Neurospora crassa OR74A: one gene and its partners. The protein of the gene in region 1 interacts with the protein of each later gene in a pairwise test. Links are inferred from orthologs where the notes say so. Each region holds a gene or a part of one and is shown on either strand. Other genes may lie near its edges.

Region 1 (4,201 bases):
GTTGATTTGATTACTAGGTTTCGCATTGCTGAAGTCTTTATCGGGGGGATCGCCAGCTATTATGTCGGCCAGGTCGCTCTTTGGATACACTGCAACTGAATAGATCTCCTTGATTTCGTCTTCTGTCATGCCCGGCTTCACCGGGAGAATTTCGTAGACGGTCGGATCGGGAAAGGTAGACGGGTCATCGCCAAAAGTGTTGGCCTGTGGTCGTGCAGGCGGCGGAGGCTGGCCATCGTCATCGGAATCGTCATCGTCGTCGTCGTCGTCATTTTCCTCGGTCTTTGTCTTTTCGTCGGCCTCCATGGCAGTGGGCGTTCTGGGGGCGACTGGTGAGAGAGAGGAGCTGGCAGAGTCATCGCGGGAGAGCTTCCTGGCTTTGTTTCCGGACTCGCGAACTGGGGAAGAATATTCTGCGGAGAAGAGAGGGGAGTCAGGACCATGCTTTGTATTGTCAAAGCAGGTAGATAATTTCAATTGGAAGGGGGGATGCACGGTGGTTAAGGTGAAGGTGGTGGTAACGGACCTATGCTATTTCCCTGGGGCGGGGCCAGGTTCTCGGTGGCCTTCCGCTTCTTCTTGTTGGCTTTGCGCTCGGCACGCTCCTCCTCGTCGGCTTCCTTCTGGCGGCGTTCCTCCTCGCGGCCGCGCTCGGCAGCCAGCTCGCTCTCGCGGAGGCGGCGGGACTGGGCGAGCAGACGCATGCCTTTGTCACAGTTGGTGCCCCGCTTGTCAATGACCTCGCTAAGACGTGACAGGCGGGACAGGAGGCCATCGAGGCTCTTGGAGTCGGGCGATGCGGTGTTGTTGGCGACGTGGTCGACAAGGTCGTCGTACGTGATGTTGCGGAAGAGGTCGAAGCGCACGTCCAGGGTAGCCGTCTCGTGCTGCTCAATGGGGGGCAGGCTGGCGACCTGGGGAGAGCCGGCGCTGGGCGTGGTGTTGCGACTGCGCGGGTGCTGGTGCTGGCGCATGACACCCGCTCCACCCTTCTTCCCCGTGCCCTTCTGGCTGCCTTTTTGGCCCGAGGGCGGCGGCATTGTTGCTGCGTAATCGGCAACCCCGCGCGCGCTCCTGGCTTTTTTTTTTGCTGGCCGCTGGCTGCTGCGCACCTTACTACGGGTGATCCTGGTGCGGCGACTTCCGGCCCGTGTGCTGTCGGGGGTTCCAGGTATCTGTTGGGATTTTAGGGAGTTCCGTGGAAGAGGATCCGGACTCGGGGGGTCTTGGGGGGGCTGGCTGCTCTGGGTCCTCGGTAGGTAACGGCGATGTCGATATGGCGTCTGTCTGTCTAATAAGGGGTATCAGGACCCGGGAAGGCTGCCGCGTCCACGGCGTGCTCGAGGGATGCTCGTCGCGGTCTGCCTCGCTCGCTGAAAGGCGGTCGATGCTGGTCGATACACAATCCAATGACGGCACAATAACTGATGGCACATCCCTGTCGACCCTGACTGTCGCTCGCGGGGAGTGAAGAATCGTGTGGGAATCAGGCAATGATGGGACTGGGCCAGAGCGCTGGGCGGGCCTCTTTCAACTTCCACTTGCTCTGTAGCGTTCTGCGTTGTAAGTGTACGTAACTAAGTTAGGTGACTAAGTTACGTAGGAGAGGTACACTTCAAGTTGCAAGTGGAATTGGGGTTCCAGAGTTGCCCTTGCCCTGGGCCTCGCAATGCTATTTCCGTCGGGTGTTTGAGTTTGTGTGACTGATGTGCCCGTGTCGCGCCTGTGAATTCCTCGCGTTGCCGTTACTCAACAGACAACTGAACCTGTGCCACACTTTGGTTGTCGGGCACTTCTTTCCTGCAGAGGTAGAGGTCAGTTGGACGGCACTTGGGTTCGACTTCAACATGGGCACTTTCAGGAGGCAGGGCAGCTCTGTAGTGTACAAACTAACTGTGCCATACCTGCCCACCTCCCCGGGCTGTCAGCTGCCAGTAGGTAGGTACTTATCTACTGTGGTAGCACGATACGGGCACCTAGGTCTTGGCGGATAGAGAACAAATGGTCTGTGCTCCCACTGCACTTGATGGACGCTCGGACTCCCAAAGCGCGGCTCACCTCTTTCCAAGTCCTCCACCGAGTTGGGCAGTCGTCTCCTTGGCGTTTACAGTTCCAGCAAGCAACGGGCACCTCGACCAATTGATGAATGCCCGTCACTTTAGTTCTGTTGTCCAACATATCTTAACATCATCAAGGTTGATTTCTTTTCCCGTCACTCATTTGGTAACATAGCAACACTGATACCAACAACATGTTGTTCTTCAGGTAATCTAATTTTCTCATCCAACCCAAGAGGAGCATTCGTGTTCGTTCATTACATCAAGTCATTATTCCCTAGTGGGGTCAAGTCTACGCTATGTTGTGATGCTGCTTTGAAGCCGAGCATGACAAGGTCTGCGACGCATATCAGGAGTTGCTTCACATACCTGGACCAAGCCCTGCCTGAGTTGACACATGATGACTTTTCAACATACCACACTGTTTACCAACATTGCTCATCAATCCCTGCATTCCCTTATGAATACGGACCAGCGCATCGACACCACACCACATCTTCCCACCCCCCCTTCTTCCCTTTCAAGCACCCACCGCAACATCTAGTCAAACAAATACAGACTGACACTTCACGCAAAAAGCTTCTTCAAGACCCTCATCGACCACGAGGTCACGGTCGAGCTCAAGAACGACATCCAGATCCGGGGCGTGCTCAAGAGCGTCGACCAGTTCCTCAACATCAAGCTCGACAACATCCAAGTCGTTGAAGAGCTCAAGTATCCGCACCTGAGCGCGGTCAAGAACGTGTTTATCCGCGGGTCTGTGGTTCGTTACGTTCACCTGCCCCAGGAGAGCGTGGATATCCAGTTGTTAGAGGATGCCACGAGAAGAGGTATGTTTTGTGTGTTGAGTGAGAAGGGGCTCGTGGTAGCTGCATGGAAGGGTTGAATGGGTTGGATGCATACTAACGCCGTGTTGCAGAGGCGGCCAACCAGGCTACGAAAGCTAAGCAGGGTTGAATGTGAGAGGAGAGGAGGAGGAGGAGGAGGGGATCATTCGCTCTAGAACCACTTCACGGAACGCACACCCTAACTTTCGACCCGTTATTGTCGCTACCAACGTTGTCTATCAACAGATGCGATTGACGAAGCTGGAAGGAAACGCGCTCGAGAATCAAGGGCAAACGAAGAGGGCCAGAGACCAGGATGGGGTGGTACGGGAGAAGACAAGCAGGCAGGGCGTCAAGAGTGTCACATAGGCGGATACCAGATGAGGAATGAACACGGCTGAGTTGAACCGAGAATCAGGCAAGGGCGGTGTTCTCCATGTGTGAGTGGAAACGCAAACACAACGGCCGAATAGAGTTTCAGACAGATTTACAAACAACCAACCGACCGCACTCCCCCCTTTCCCAACCCTTCCGCACACCACCATACAGAGCACCGCACAGATTACCAATAAACCTCCCCACCACTCGCATCCTTCCCATCCCAAAACTTCTGCCCTTTGGTATCTTCCCCTTTCTCTCCCTTTCCCCCTTCCTGCTCATGCAAAATCCTCACCAACCCCCCTCTCCTCCTTTCCCCCACCCACCGATCAATCCACCCCTTCATTCTCGCTCTACTCGCCTCGCTCCCCACATTCACCGTCGGCACCACCTTCTCCACCCTCAACGCCATCAAAAAGAGCGCCAGCTCCCTGAACGAGCTGTGCTCGCTATAGGGAACCCCAAAGCACATGGCCTCCCTCCCGCTCCCGCGCTGGGGGACCACGTTCTGTGCAAAGAAGCGGGGGCGGAACCGGTTACCGTGGAGGAGGTGCGTGGTTGGCAGCGACGATGGAGGGAGACTGGCGGTGACGGGGACGGAGGCGGGAGGTCCTGTGTCGATGTCGGGCGGTAACTGTATTTCATGGCTGTTCTGGTTGTTATTGGACCCGGAACCGGGCCGGTAACTCCACCCCGAGGGACGAAACCCGACAATGCGGCTGAACCCGTTGGACCGGTGCAACTCGAGGTACTCAGCCAGCGTATCGGCGCGGATCTCGCCGAGAGCTTGCATGTGCACTTGAGCCTCACGGGGGTCCGCGGTCATCAGGCTGGAGAGCTCGGGGTCGTCGAGCTGTTTGGTGATGCGGATCTTGGAAGGGGAAGCGAAGATTTTGGAGCGGAGGGCTTGCGCGATGGCGACGCAGATGCGCTCTTTAC
Region 2 (4,858 bases), on another chromosome or scaffold:
CTTCTTGTTATACGGATCATTTTTGCTTTGCCCGAGTATCTCGTAAGGTGTAGGGTTTTTGGACGCGGGCCAATATAATGCGGGGTGGTCTGTCGGCGGCTCCGCGTCTGCTGCGCCGTGATGTACCGAAGCGAAGAGGCGGGTTTGGAAAGCTCCTCGGGCGGTCGGAGCGATCGGACGAAGGTCAAAGAGGACGGGATCGACGGCCAAAGGACCACACGGCCGACTTGATGGTGTTGCTGCTGCCCGGACTAGCGTGAGCGAGCCATGGGCCGCGCGGGCGGCATTGCCGGGGCAGCTGATGGCGGCAAATTTCAAGGAAAACATGGTGACGGCTTCAAGTAGTCATGTTGGAGCTCACTGAGGCTGATAGAGAATCATGGCTCCAGGCGCGACAATTCAGTGTGCCTAGACTTAGTAGTCGATTATGAGTGGGAGTCGGGAGGAGATGGGCGATGGGGATGGCATACAAGAACGGTGTTTGGTGGAGGGTGGGAAACCTGGAATGGATGATGTCGATATGCTGCTGCCCTGGATATGCTGGGAGCTCAGTGTCAGACATTCATTTGACATTGCCTGCCAGCAGCACCTCTGAGTGTGGGGCAGTTCCCGATTACCGCTAAAACCAAGTCGATTTGGATAGGTACAGTGGGGCGCCAAAAAAAACGAACGTTTCTTTTTTACCCGCAAAAAGGGCCAAAACTCAACTTCTTCTACTCTTAATTTCTCAACGTGGTTTATTGCAAAACTCACTCCACGTTCTAAATAGAGATAACTTTAAGAGGAGATACTAATGCAAGTTGTCCGAAAAGATACACTCGAACGGGGGGCAAAAGCGTAAGTACTAAAGTCACTTTCCGAAAAGTATCTCAGATTCTATCCACTATAATGCACTCTAAATGCACTATAACCAAAAATCCTTTTCAAACTCTCATTTGAACAATTGTGATTACACTACTAAACCAATGAAGTCAATTTCATTTATATATCTGGGGAGTATAACTATTTAACTCTGTCCTCCTTTAGTGCATCTGCTTTTGAAAGGTAGTTGGCATGAAAACTAGGGAGTGATAGAGTTGAGTTTTGGCCCTTTTTGCGGGTAAAAAAGAAACGTGTTTTATTTTTGGTCCGGGACTGTACCCTTAAGGGGGGGCTAGCCTTTTTACAGTAAAGCTGGCGCCCAACTGCAAGCCATCTGCAAGCCCACTGTAGCCTCTGGGCGCTCAGAGTGGGTATGTGAACGTGGCTACACCTGGCACAAGGTGTGTGCAGGAGGCTGTCAGCTGTAGGGCGCTCGCTTACAAACCTAGATCGGGTAAGGTGGCCCGCCGAGCCCGCTAAAGGGGGAGCTAAGGGGTATCCAAATCGAATTGAAAAAAGCGGTACTACTAGACTTAGTCGAATGTACCTCTCTGTAGGTACCTATGTACATACTTGACACTGGGCACGCAAGACGGCAGTGAAGAGACGGGCATGATGTACACATTCATGGATCTGACCGTGCTGGAAAATATCGAACTGTTTTCCAATTGTCAAACTTTTTGTCAACTTTGATCATTACTTTGTCCAATTTCGGCTACCTACGTAACAAAGCCCAGAAGGACGTCCATGGACGGGATGTCGCCCGCGATATCCCACCAGTGCGCCGGATGACGTCGATATATACAATGTAGAGGTACGCTAGGTACACTGGGCCACCACCAGAACTACTATGCAGTGTACACTACCCAGGCCAACAGAGAGGAGGCACAGGCAGCGGTCATAGTGTAGGTACACTAGTAGAGGTATAAACCGAATTGCCCCTGAAGTGGGACTGGAAGGCGATGCCGCGGCCGACTTGTGGCCTATGAGTGGCGCCCCCCGCCGCCTTCCATTATGAGACGAGATACACTACACTACGCAGGTATGGAAATGGAGGTCCCGTTCGGTCCCGTCGTGGTGGACACGCTGCTGATTGTGCGATACACAACTGGACTGGAAGGCGCAGGCAGGGTTCGGCAGGGAACATCAAGGGAACACGTGATCCGAGACCCTTTCGGCAGTGGAGTGAACAGTTTTGACGAGGAGAGGAGACTGGACCTGGGACCTGGACGCTCCGGCTCCTTCGTCCACTCACTCGCCCAGTCCTAAACAGCACTGAATCATTCACGACTTCCGCACCGCCTCGCCTCGTCCAAGCTTCGGAAGTTTCCCTCAAACTCTCTGCCTTTCTGCCCCGCTTTCAGACGACGACCACCACCACCACCACAACAACGACAACACTTCAATCACAACAGAACAGAAACACTTTGAGCTCGCTGCAAAGCACCATCTCGTCCCACTCTCCCAACGGCATCGCACACGTCGCTTTGATTCGCCCTTCAGTTTTCACAGGCCAATCAAGTCCCAGCCGTCGACCCCGAATCGGATTCCTCGCAGCCTCTCCCACAAAAGACGTCGCTTGACTTCGAGGCATACAGGCAAAATCAAACGACTGAGAACGTCCTTGGTGCTCCCACACGCAACGAGCCTCCTCGCGACCCCATCCCCATCCACCGCCGTCTCATCTTTGCCCCACGACCGCTCGCGACAGGCCTCCGCCTCCGCCTACAAAGCTACATCTGTCTGGCTCTGCTCACCGTCAACAGACCGAAAAACAAAAGAGAAAGAGGGGATTCCCACCCACAACTAGTGCTCCTCTCCCCTTGTCAACCACTTGTCCATTTCGCTACACACACCCGGAGACGAAGCCATCGCGCTCTACGCTCTCCTTTCTGCAACATCTGAGCCTCGACCACGGGTTCCACAACCGAACAACGACCATCCGGCAAAATGTCCGACCAACTAGCGGATCAGTTGAAAGCTACTAGTCTGAGGTAGGTTGACCGCCTTCCCTTCTGTCCCAAACCCAGCTGACATGTTTTTGATAGCTCAGGCCCGGAAGACTGGAAAAAGGGACTTAACCTACCTGCCAGGGACACAAGACAACAGACCGAGGATGTTACAAACACGAGGGGTCTGGATTGGGAAGACTTCATACACGACAGGGATCTCTTGATGGGCATTTTCGAGGCTGGCTTCGAGAAACCGTCCCCGATTCAGGAAGAAGCGATCCCCGTTGCCCTCACCGGCCGAGACATCCTCGCACGCGCAAAGAACGGCACCGGCAAGACCGCCGCTTTCGTCATTCCCGCCCTCAACAAGATCAACCCTAAGGTCTCCAAGATCCAATGCCTTATTCTCGTTCCCACCCGTGAGCTTGCCATGCAGACATCCCAAGTCTGCAAGACGCTCGGCAAGCATCTCGGCATCAACGTCATGGTGACAACCGGCGGAACTGGCCTGCGGGACGACATTGTGCGTCTGCAGGACCCCGTACACATCGTCGTCGGAACACCAGGTCGTATCCTCGATCTAGCTGGCAAGCAGGTGGCCGATCTCAGCGAGTGCCCAATGTTCATTATGGACGAGGCTGATAAGCTCCTGTCGCAAGAGTTTACCCCCGTCATTGAGCAGCTCCTGCAGTTCCACCCCAAGGATCGTCAGGTCATGCTGTTCTCCGCCACTTTCCCTCTTTCGGTCAAGGATTTCTCGGACAAGAACATGACTAGCCCGTACGAGATCAACCTCATGGACGAGCTTACGCTCCGCGGTATCACTCAATACTATGCCTTTGTTGAGGAGAAGCAAAAGGTTCACTGCCTCAACACTCTGTTTTCCAAGCTGCAGATCAACCAGTCCATCATTTTCTGCAACTCTACCAACCGCGTCGAACTGCTTGCCAAAAAGATCACTGAGCTTGGATACTCGTGCTTCTACAGTCATGCCAAAATGGCTCAGCAGGCGAGAAACCGTGTCTTCCACGACTTCCGCAACGGTGTTTGCCGCAACCTGGTCTGCTCGGATCTCCTCACCCGCGGTATTGACATTCAGGCAGTGAACGTTGTCATCAACTTCGATTTCCCCAAGAACGCCGAGACGTACCTCCACCGTATTGGTCGTTCTGGTCGTTATGGTCACCTTGGTCTTGCTATTAACTTGATCAATTGGGATGACAGATTCAACCTTTACAACATTGAGCGCGATCTTGGTACAGAGATCCAGCCCATTCCTCAGACCATTGACAAGAGCCTCTACGTGTACGAGAACCCTGAATCGATTCCCCGGCCCATCTCGACCTTCAAGCCTATTGCCCAGCAGCCGCAACAGCAATTGCAGCAATCGCAAAGGCCTCAACAGTCTCAACAGCAACAGCATTTCTCAACACAGACACAGCCGTCAAACCAGCTCCCGCCTCAACAGGGCAACCAACAACTTGGCTTCAATCCTCAAGCTCAACAGCCTCACAGACCCATCCCCCAGGCCCAGGGTGATTGGCAAGGGCAAAACGGTCGCCAAAATGGCACAGGTGCTTCCAACAACCAACCCAGACCCACCAACTACCAGAACAATCGCGGGCAGCCCGGTAGCAGCCGCGGAGGTCGTGGACGTGGTTTCCAGGGCCAGGGAGGCCGTCAGAACCAGAACTACGGTGGTCAGCGCGGTCCTCGTACCCAAGGTCAGGGCCAGCCTCAGGGTCCACTGTCTGCCCAGTAGGGTAAACTCTCCCAACAAGTTTTGGAAGGAGGGGGATATGTGGTAATGTGAGGAGGTGTGCGACCATGCATCGCTTCCACGTTGTTTTGTCTTTGAATTGTACATATTAGTCGTCCTTTTTTTTCGGCCATCTCTTTCTGTTCCTCCCGAACTGTGAATGGGCTACCATGACGGCAAGTGTTGTCCCTCGGCCTGTCAGGTTTGCGTTTACGCTACGGCAGACTCGTCTATCACACTCTTTCTGCCGACCCTGCAAACAGTTCAACGACATGCACGGAACTGT
Region 3 (4,858 bases), on another chromosome or scaffold:
CTAATTGTAGATATAACTTTATTAAGTTCGAGGGCGAAGTTTGGGTTTTTGATTTGATATAAATAGAGTTCGTAGAGCATTATTATTATAGGGTTAATATAGATAATTTTAACGGCCTCTACGAACTACGGATTCTAGATTGATATTTTGTTAATACTTCCTTAAACCCGATGAAGAATATTAAAGAGGTTAGAAATTGGACTTTAAAAGATAGTTGTGGCTAGTATAGAATGCCTTCGCCTGGGTTCGAATTCCCAATAGAATACCTCGATAAGTTTTATCTCTCTAGGGAGGAATAGTTCCAGAGGATGTTCGTTGCTAATGGTTAGTATAAGTAAAGCTTGTAATTATATGCGTATTGGGCTATAGTACCCCTCGATCTTCCTTAGGTTATTTTTTTTTTCTTTTTTTTTTTTTTCTTTTTTTATATTATTATCCTTAGGTTATTATTTACAACTAGTTTCATGTGTTGTCTTTATTTAGAGCCGGAATTAAAGTTTTTTATTTTTTTTTCGTTATACTTTCTTATTGTTATATTTATATTAAGGAATATATATTTTATACTATTATATCGAAATAGTCCTAAAGGAGGCGTATTTGGGGTAGCCTGAGGTGAATATTCTTATTGGCTACCTATACGGTACCCGTACTCTAATTTTCTTATATACCTAGGTTAGAGTTTTAATTTACAATTATTAGAAAGGGAATAATAGGAATTACTTCTATAAAGAATACCCGCCACTTAGGTAGCTTAGATAAGTAATTTAATATAGCGCTTTCTCCCCTACTACCTACCTCTATCAATATAAGTGTAATATTGATTGAAAATTGCTGTGAAATAATTGTAAGGCTTTTGTTACTTAGAATAGATATTAATTGTTGAATAAATAAATATAATTAAACAATTATTATATTAATAAGAATATTAGCTTGCAATTAGCAATTTAAGTGAGTATATTTATTATGTTGTATATTTTGTAGTTCGGGTCGTATTGTTGTGGTACAGTTCGCTGTTGTCGTACTTTTGTGCGCTGTTGAACGGTTAATTCCGTTTTGTATACAATACCGCGTTAATAGTCGTTGTACTATTAATTAAAACTACGTATTGTAAAATAAAACCAACTTCAATACAACAATATTCAATTATCTAGTAGATTACAGTAAGAAACAATATTGTGTAAGGATGTTGTAGCCCACAACCCCTGCTCAAGCGTTTTATACTATAAAGGCCTGCTACGCCCACTTTTGTCAGACCCCCCATTCCCTCCAGGGCAGTTCCGTTCCGCTCGTCGAGGGCGGAGGCTCGCTTGAGGTTCGTTACCTTGAGGTTCAGTAGTAGCTGGTGCGGGGAGAGAGCTGACAGTGACAGCCGGGAGCCTGATGAGGTGGCGGAGCGCTCACTACTGGCCTGGCCTGGCCGGGCCGAGCGCTAGTACCTAGCTCTAGAGGTACCTCTACCTCTACGACCGACGCTCACGCCGCCCCCAGGCACACAGTCAACCCGCGTGGGGCAACGGAGGCCAACTAGAAACTGCAGTGTGTCACAGCCTGAACACCTAGCCAGCCCGGAGCCCAGGACCCGACACCTTCTCCGTCCCATCCACACCTCTGACGGACCTTCCACTTTTGTTTCTCTTGCGGTTCCATCTCGTAGACATCACCCACTTCTTCCTTTACCTCCGTCTATCTCGAACATAGGCCGCCAACGTCCTAGGCCACTCCTCGGATTCTCAACCTTTCCGCTTTTCTTAGCACTATAGTAGCTTCTTTTCCCGATTGGCGCTGTCGGTTGCTCCAAGGACACTCCTCTTCTTCCCTTCCATAGACAGCATCTTCAGTCTTGGACCTTGCTGCTTCGTCCCCCCTCGGTTTATTGCACCATTGCGATCCCTGGAGGCTTCGCTATCTAGAAACCCGGCCATTATTATTCAGTGCCGGCATTTGAACGACCAGCTTGACGCCTCTCCTTCGCCCCCTGACAGCAGTAACTAAGTAGACTCCCCGTCTGCGACATCTCCTGCGACCGCTCAGCGCGCCCCAATTTCAGACCTCCTTCGCAAACTTCTAGTAGTGTACACATCTAGTCCGGCACCACAGGCCACTTAGTCAACATGGGGTATATGACTCCCACATCAAAGCTCCTCCCTCGCCGTATACGCGCGCGTTGTTCAGGCGTGTGGCTAATACCCCCTCTTGTCCAGTGTTCCCAAGTTCTTCAGATGGCTCTCGGAGCGGTATCCCGCCATTTCTCAGCTCATCGCCGAGAACCGTATCCCCGAGTTCGACTGCCTTTATGTTCGCTGCTCCCTCCCGAGGCCTGATGGCTGTCTTGCGTTACTTGCCTAGCTAACCGGTTTGCTCAGTTGGACATGAACGGTATCATCCACAACTGTACCCATAAGGACACGAGCGATGTACAATTTCGCATGACAGAGGAGGAGATGTTCATTGCTATATTCAACTACATCGAACATCTCTTCGGGAAAATCAAGCCCAAAAAGCTTTTCTTTATGGCTATAGATGGCGTTGCCCCTCGCGCAAAGATGAACCAACAGCGTGCTCGTCGTTTTCGTACCGCGCTGGACAATGAGAAGGCTAGAGATAAGGCGATTCGTGAGGGCAAGGAATTGCCCAAAGAAGAACCTTTCGACAGTAACTGCATCACACCTGGTATGTCTGGCGCTGGTGCCCGCTTGAATGTTTTCCCCGGAGGCTAACTAGCTGCATAGGAACCGAATTCATGGCCAAGCTCTCGCAACAGCTGAGATATTTCATCCATAAAAAGGTCTCGGAAGACAGGGACTGGCAACAGCCCGAGATTGTCTTGTCTGGACACGAGGTCCCTGGTGAGGGTGAGCACAAGATCATGGAGTACATCCGCAATGCGCGCGCTCAACTCGACTATGACGCGAACGTCCGTCACTGTTTGTATGGCCTCGACGCCGATCTGATCATGCTTGGCCTCCTCAGCCATGACCCTCACTTCTGCCTTCTGCGCGAGGAAGTTACCTTTGGCCGCGGCCCGTCTAAGCATAAGGCAAAGGGACTGGAGGAGCAAAACTTCTATTTGATGCATCTCTGCATAGTCCGCGAGTACCTGGAGCTGGAGTTCCAGGATCTCAAGAAACCTGGAGCCATGTCTTTTCCATTCGATATGGAAAAAGTTATTGACGACTTCATTCTTATGGCATTCTTTGTCGGAAACGACTTCCTTCCCAACCTTCCGCGGCTTCACATCAATGAAGGCGCTCTTTCGCTCATGTTTAGGATCTACAAAGAAATTCTTCCGCGCGGCGACGGATATATCAACGAGGGCGGTAAGGTCAACCTCCAGAGACTCGGCCTGCTTCTGGAAGAACTCGGCAAGGAGGAGTATCGCTTTTTCGAACATGAACATGAGGATCAAAGCTGGCTTCGGGCCAAGAAGATGCTTGAAGATAACGAGGCAGAGACAGCAAAGGCAAAGACCAAGGGCAAGCTCATCGTCACCACGAACCAGAAGAATCTCTGGAAGCAGAAGATCAGGAAATTCCTTATGAATAGGAGCACTAATACGCTTGACCTCGGTACCGAGTTGAAGGCCGAGGACCGCAAGTTTGTCCAAGACTTGGCTGATACTGCTCACATTCCTTGGGCAACTAAGGAAGATGACGAGGGACACCGCCACCTAATCCTGTCCTTCCCCGAGAGAGACGACGAGTCGGAAGAGGACGAGGAAGCCCAGTCAGCCGTTCTCCGTATCATCAAGAAGTACGACAACGCCCAAGTCCTGGATTTAACTGCGGCCGACTCGAAGGCTGCCATGGAGGTTAAATACCAGCAAAAGTTCCAAGAGTGGAAAGACAAGTACTATGCCGAGAAGTTTGAGGATTGGACCCCAGAGAACAAGGAGGACGAACTCCGCAAGTTGACGGAGAATTACGTCCAGGGTCTTCAATGGGTGCTCTACTACTACTACCGTGGTATTGCTTCTTGGCCCTGGTTCTATCGCTACCACTACGCTCCCCTGATTTCCGATGTCATGAAAGGCCTGAAAGCCGACCTTAATTTCAAGATGGGTCAGCCGTTCAAGCCATACGAGCAGCTGATGGGTGTCTTGCCAGACCGCAGCAAAAAGATCGTGCCGACAGCATATTGGGATCTTATGACAAACCCCAATTCTCCCATCATCGACTTCTACCCAAGAGACTTTGAGCTTGACATGAATGGCAAGAAGATGGATTGGGAAGCCGTTGTCAAGATTCCCTTCATTGACGAGAAGCGGCTGCTTGCAGCAATGGGCCCCAAGAACGAACTTCTCTCGGACGTTGAGAAGTCGAGGAACGATTTTGGCGTCGCACTCAAGTTCACTTATTCCGATTCGGTAGACTTTGAATACCCTTCCTCCCTTGTCGGAATCTTCCCGCCCATTCCCCACTGCCACTGTATCGAGAACATTTTCGATCTTCCGCCCGTGGAGGGACTGGAATATCGTGTTGGCTTGACCGACGGTGCTCTGCTGAACGAATCGGCGCTGGCCGGATTCCCTTCCCTCGCTACACTGCCATACACCGCCTCCCTTGGGTACCATGGCGTCAACGTGTTCCAGTCGGAGAGTCGCAATCAGAGCATGGTCGTCAATATCCTGGATACGGAGAAGCGCACCAACGTCGAGGAAGCGAAGCGCAAGCTTGGAAAGCGCTGCTTCGTTGGCTACCCTTTCCTTCAGGAGGCTAAAATCGTTGGCGTGTCAGACGAACTTTTTGATTATCATTTGGCAGAAGACGGTAGCGGACAGGTGGTATCGCGCAATCATTCCACACGGGACATCGAGCAATGGGGCAAGACGGCTCACAGAATCGAGAACTTCTACAGCAAA

The links.
Region 2: the proteins of NCU07382 (region 1) and NCU06149 interact in binary tests that used the Saccharomyces cerevisiae proteins (3 or more experiments, as listed by UniProt). The link is inferred for Neurospora crassa OR74A from reciprocal best matches to the Saccharomyces cerevisiae genes LSM2 and DHH1.
Region 3: the proteins of NCU07382 (region 1) and NCU06678 interact in binary tests that used the Saccharomyces cerevisiae proteins (3 or more experiments, as listed by UniProt). The link is inferred for Neurospora crassa OR74A from reciprocal best matches to the Saccharomyces cerevisiae genes LSM2 and XRN1.

The regions. Positions count from the first base shown.
Region 1 is NC_026501.1:6,140,393-6,144,593, forward strand, and holds NCU07382 (U6 snRNA-associated Sm-like protein LSm2), read left to right. Parts: upstream 1-2,060; 5' UTR 2,061-2,142; coding exon 2,143-2,195; exon of another isoform or gene 2,196-2,251; coding exon of another isoform or gene 2,252-2,265; intron 2,266-2,636; coding exon 2,637-2,887; intron 2,888-2,976; coding exon 2,977-3,014; 3' UTR 3,015-3,386; downstream 3,387-4,201. Other genes in the region: NCU07383 (transcriptional regulator Ngg1), read right to left, coding at 1-413, 527-1,040; NCU07381 (DNA cross-link repair protein pso2/snm1), read right to left, coding at 3,447-4,201. UniProt on the Saccharomyces cerevisiae protein: Component of LSm protein complexes, which are involved in RNA processing and may function in a chaperone-like manner. Component of the cytoplasmic LSM1-LSM7 complex which is involved in mRNA degradation by activating the decapping step.
Region 2 is NC_026507.1:1,628,313-1,633,170, forward strand, and holds the start of NCU06149 (ATP-dependent RNA helicase dhh-1), read left to right. Parts: upstream 1-2,102; 5' UTR 2,103-2,811; coding exon 2,812-2,855; intron 2,856-2,909; coding exon 2,910-4,575; 3' UTR 4,576-4,858. Other genes in the region: NCU06150 (hypothetical protein), read right to left, coding at 1-327. UniProt on the Saccharomyces cerevisiae protein: ATP-dependent RNA helicase involved in mRNA turnover, and more specifically in mRNA decapping by activating the decapping enzyme DCP1.
Region 3 is NC_026505.1:4,231,661-4,236,518, reverse strand, and holds the start of NCU06678 (exonuclease Kem1), read left to right. Parts: upstream 1-1,546; 5' UTR 1,547-2,111; coding exon 2,112-2,116; intron 2,117-2,201; coding exon 2,202-2,295; intron 2,296-2,363; coding exon 2,364-2,670; intron 2,671-2,729; coding exon 2,730-4,858. UniProt on the Saccharomyces cerevisiae protein: Multifunctional protein that exhibits several independent functions at different levels of the cellular processes. 5'-3' exonuclease component of the nonsense-mediated mRNA decay (NMD) which is a highly conserved mRNA degradation pathway, an RNA surveillance system whose role is to identify and rid cells of mRNA with premature termination codons and thus prevents accumulation of potentially harmful truncated proteins.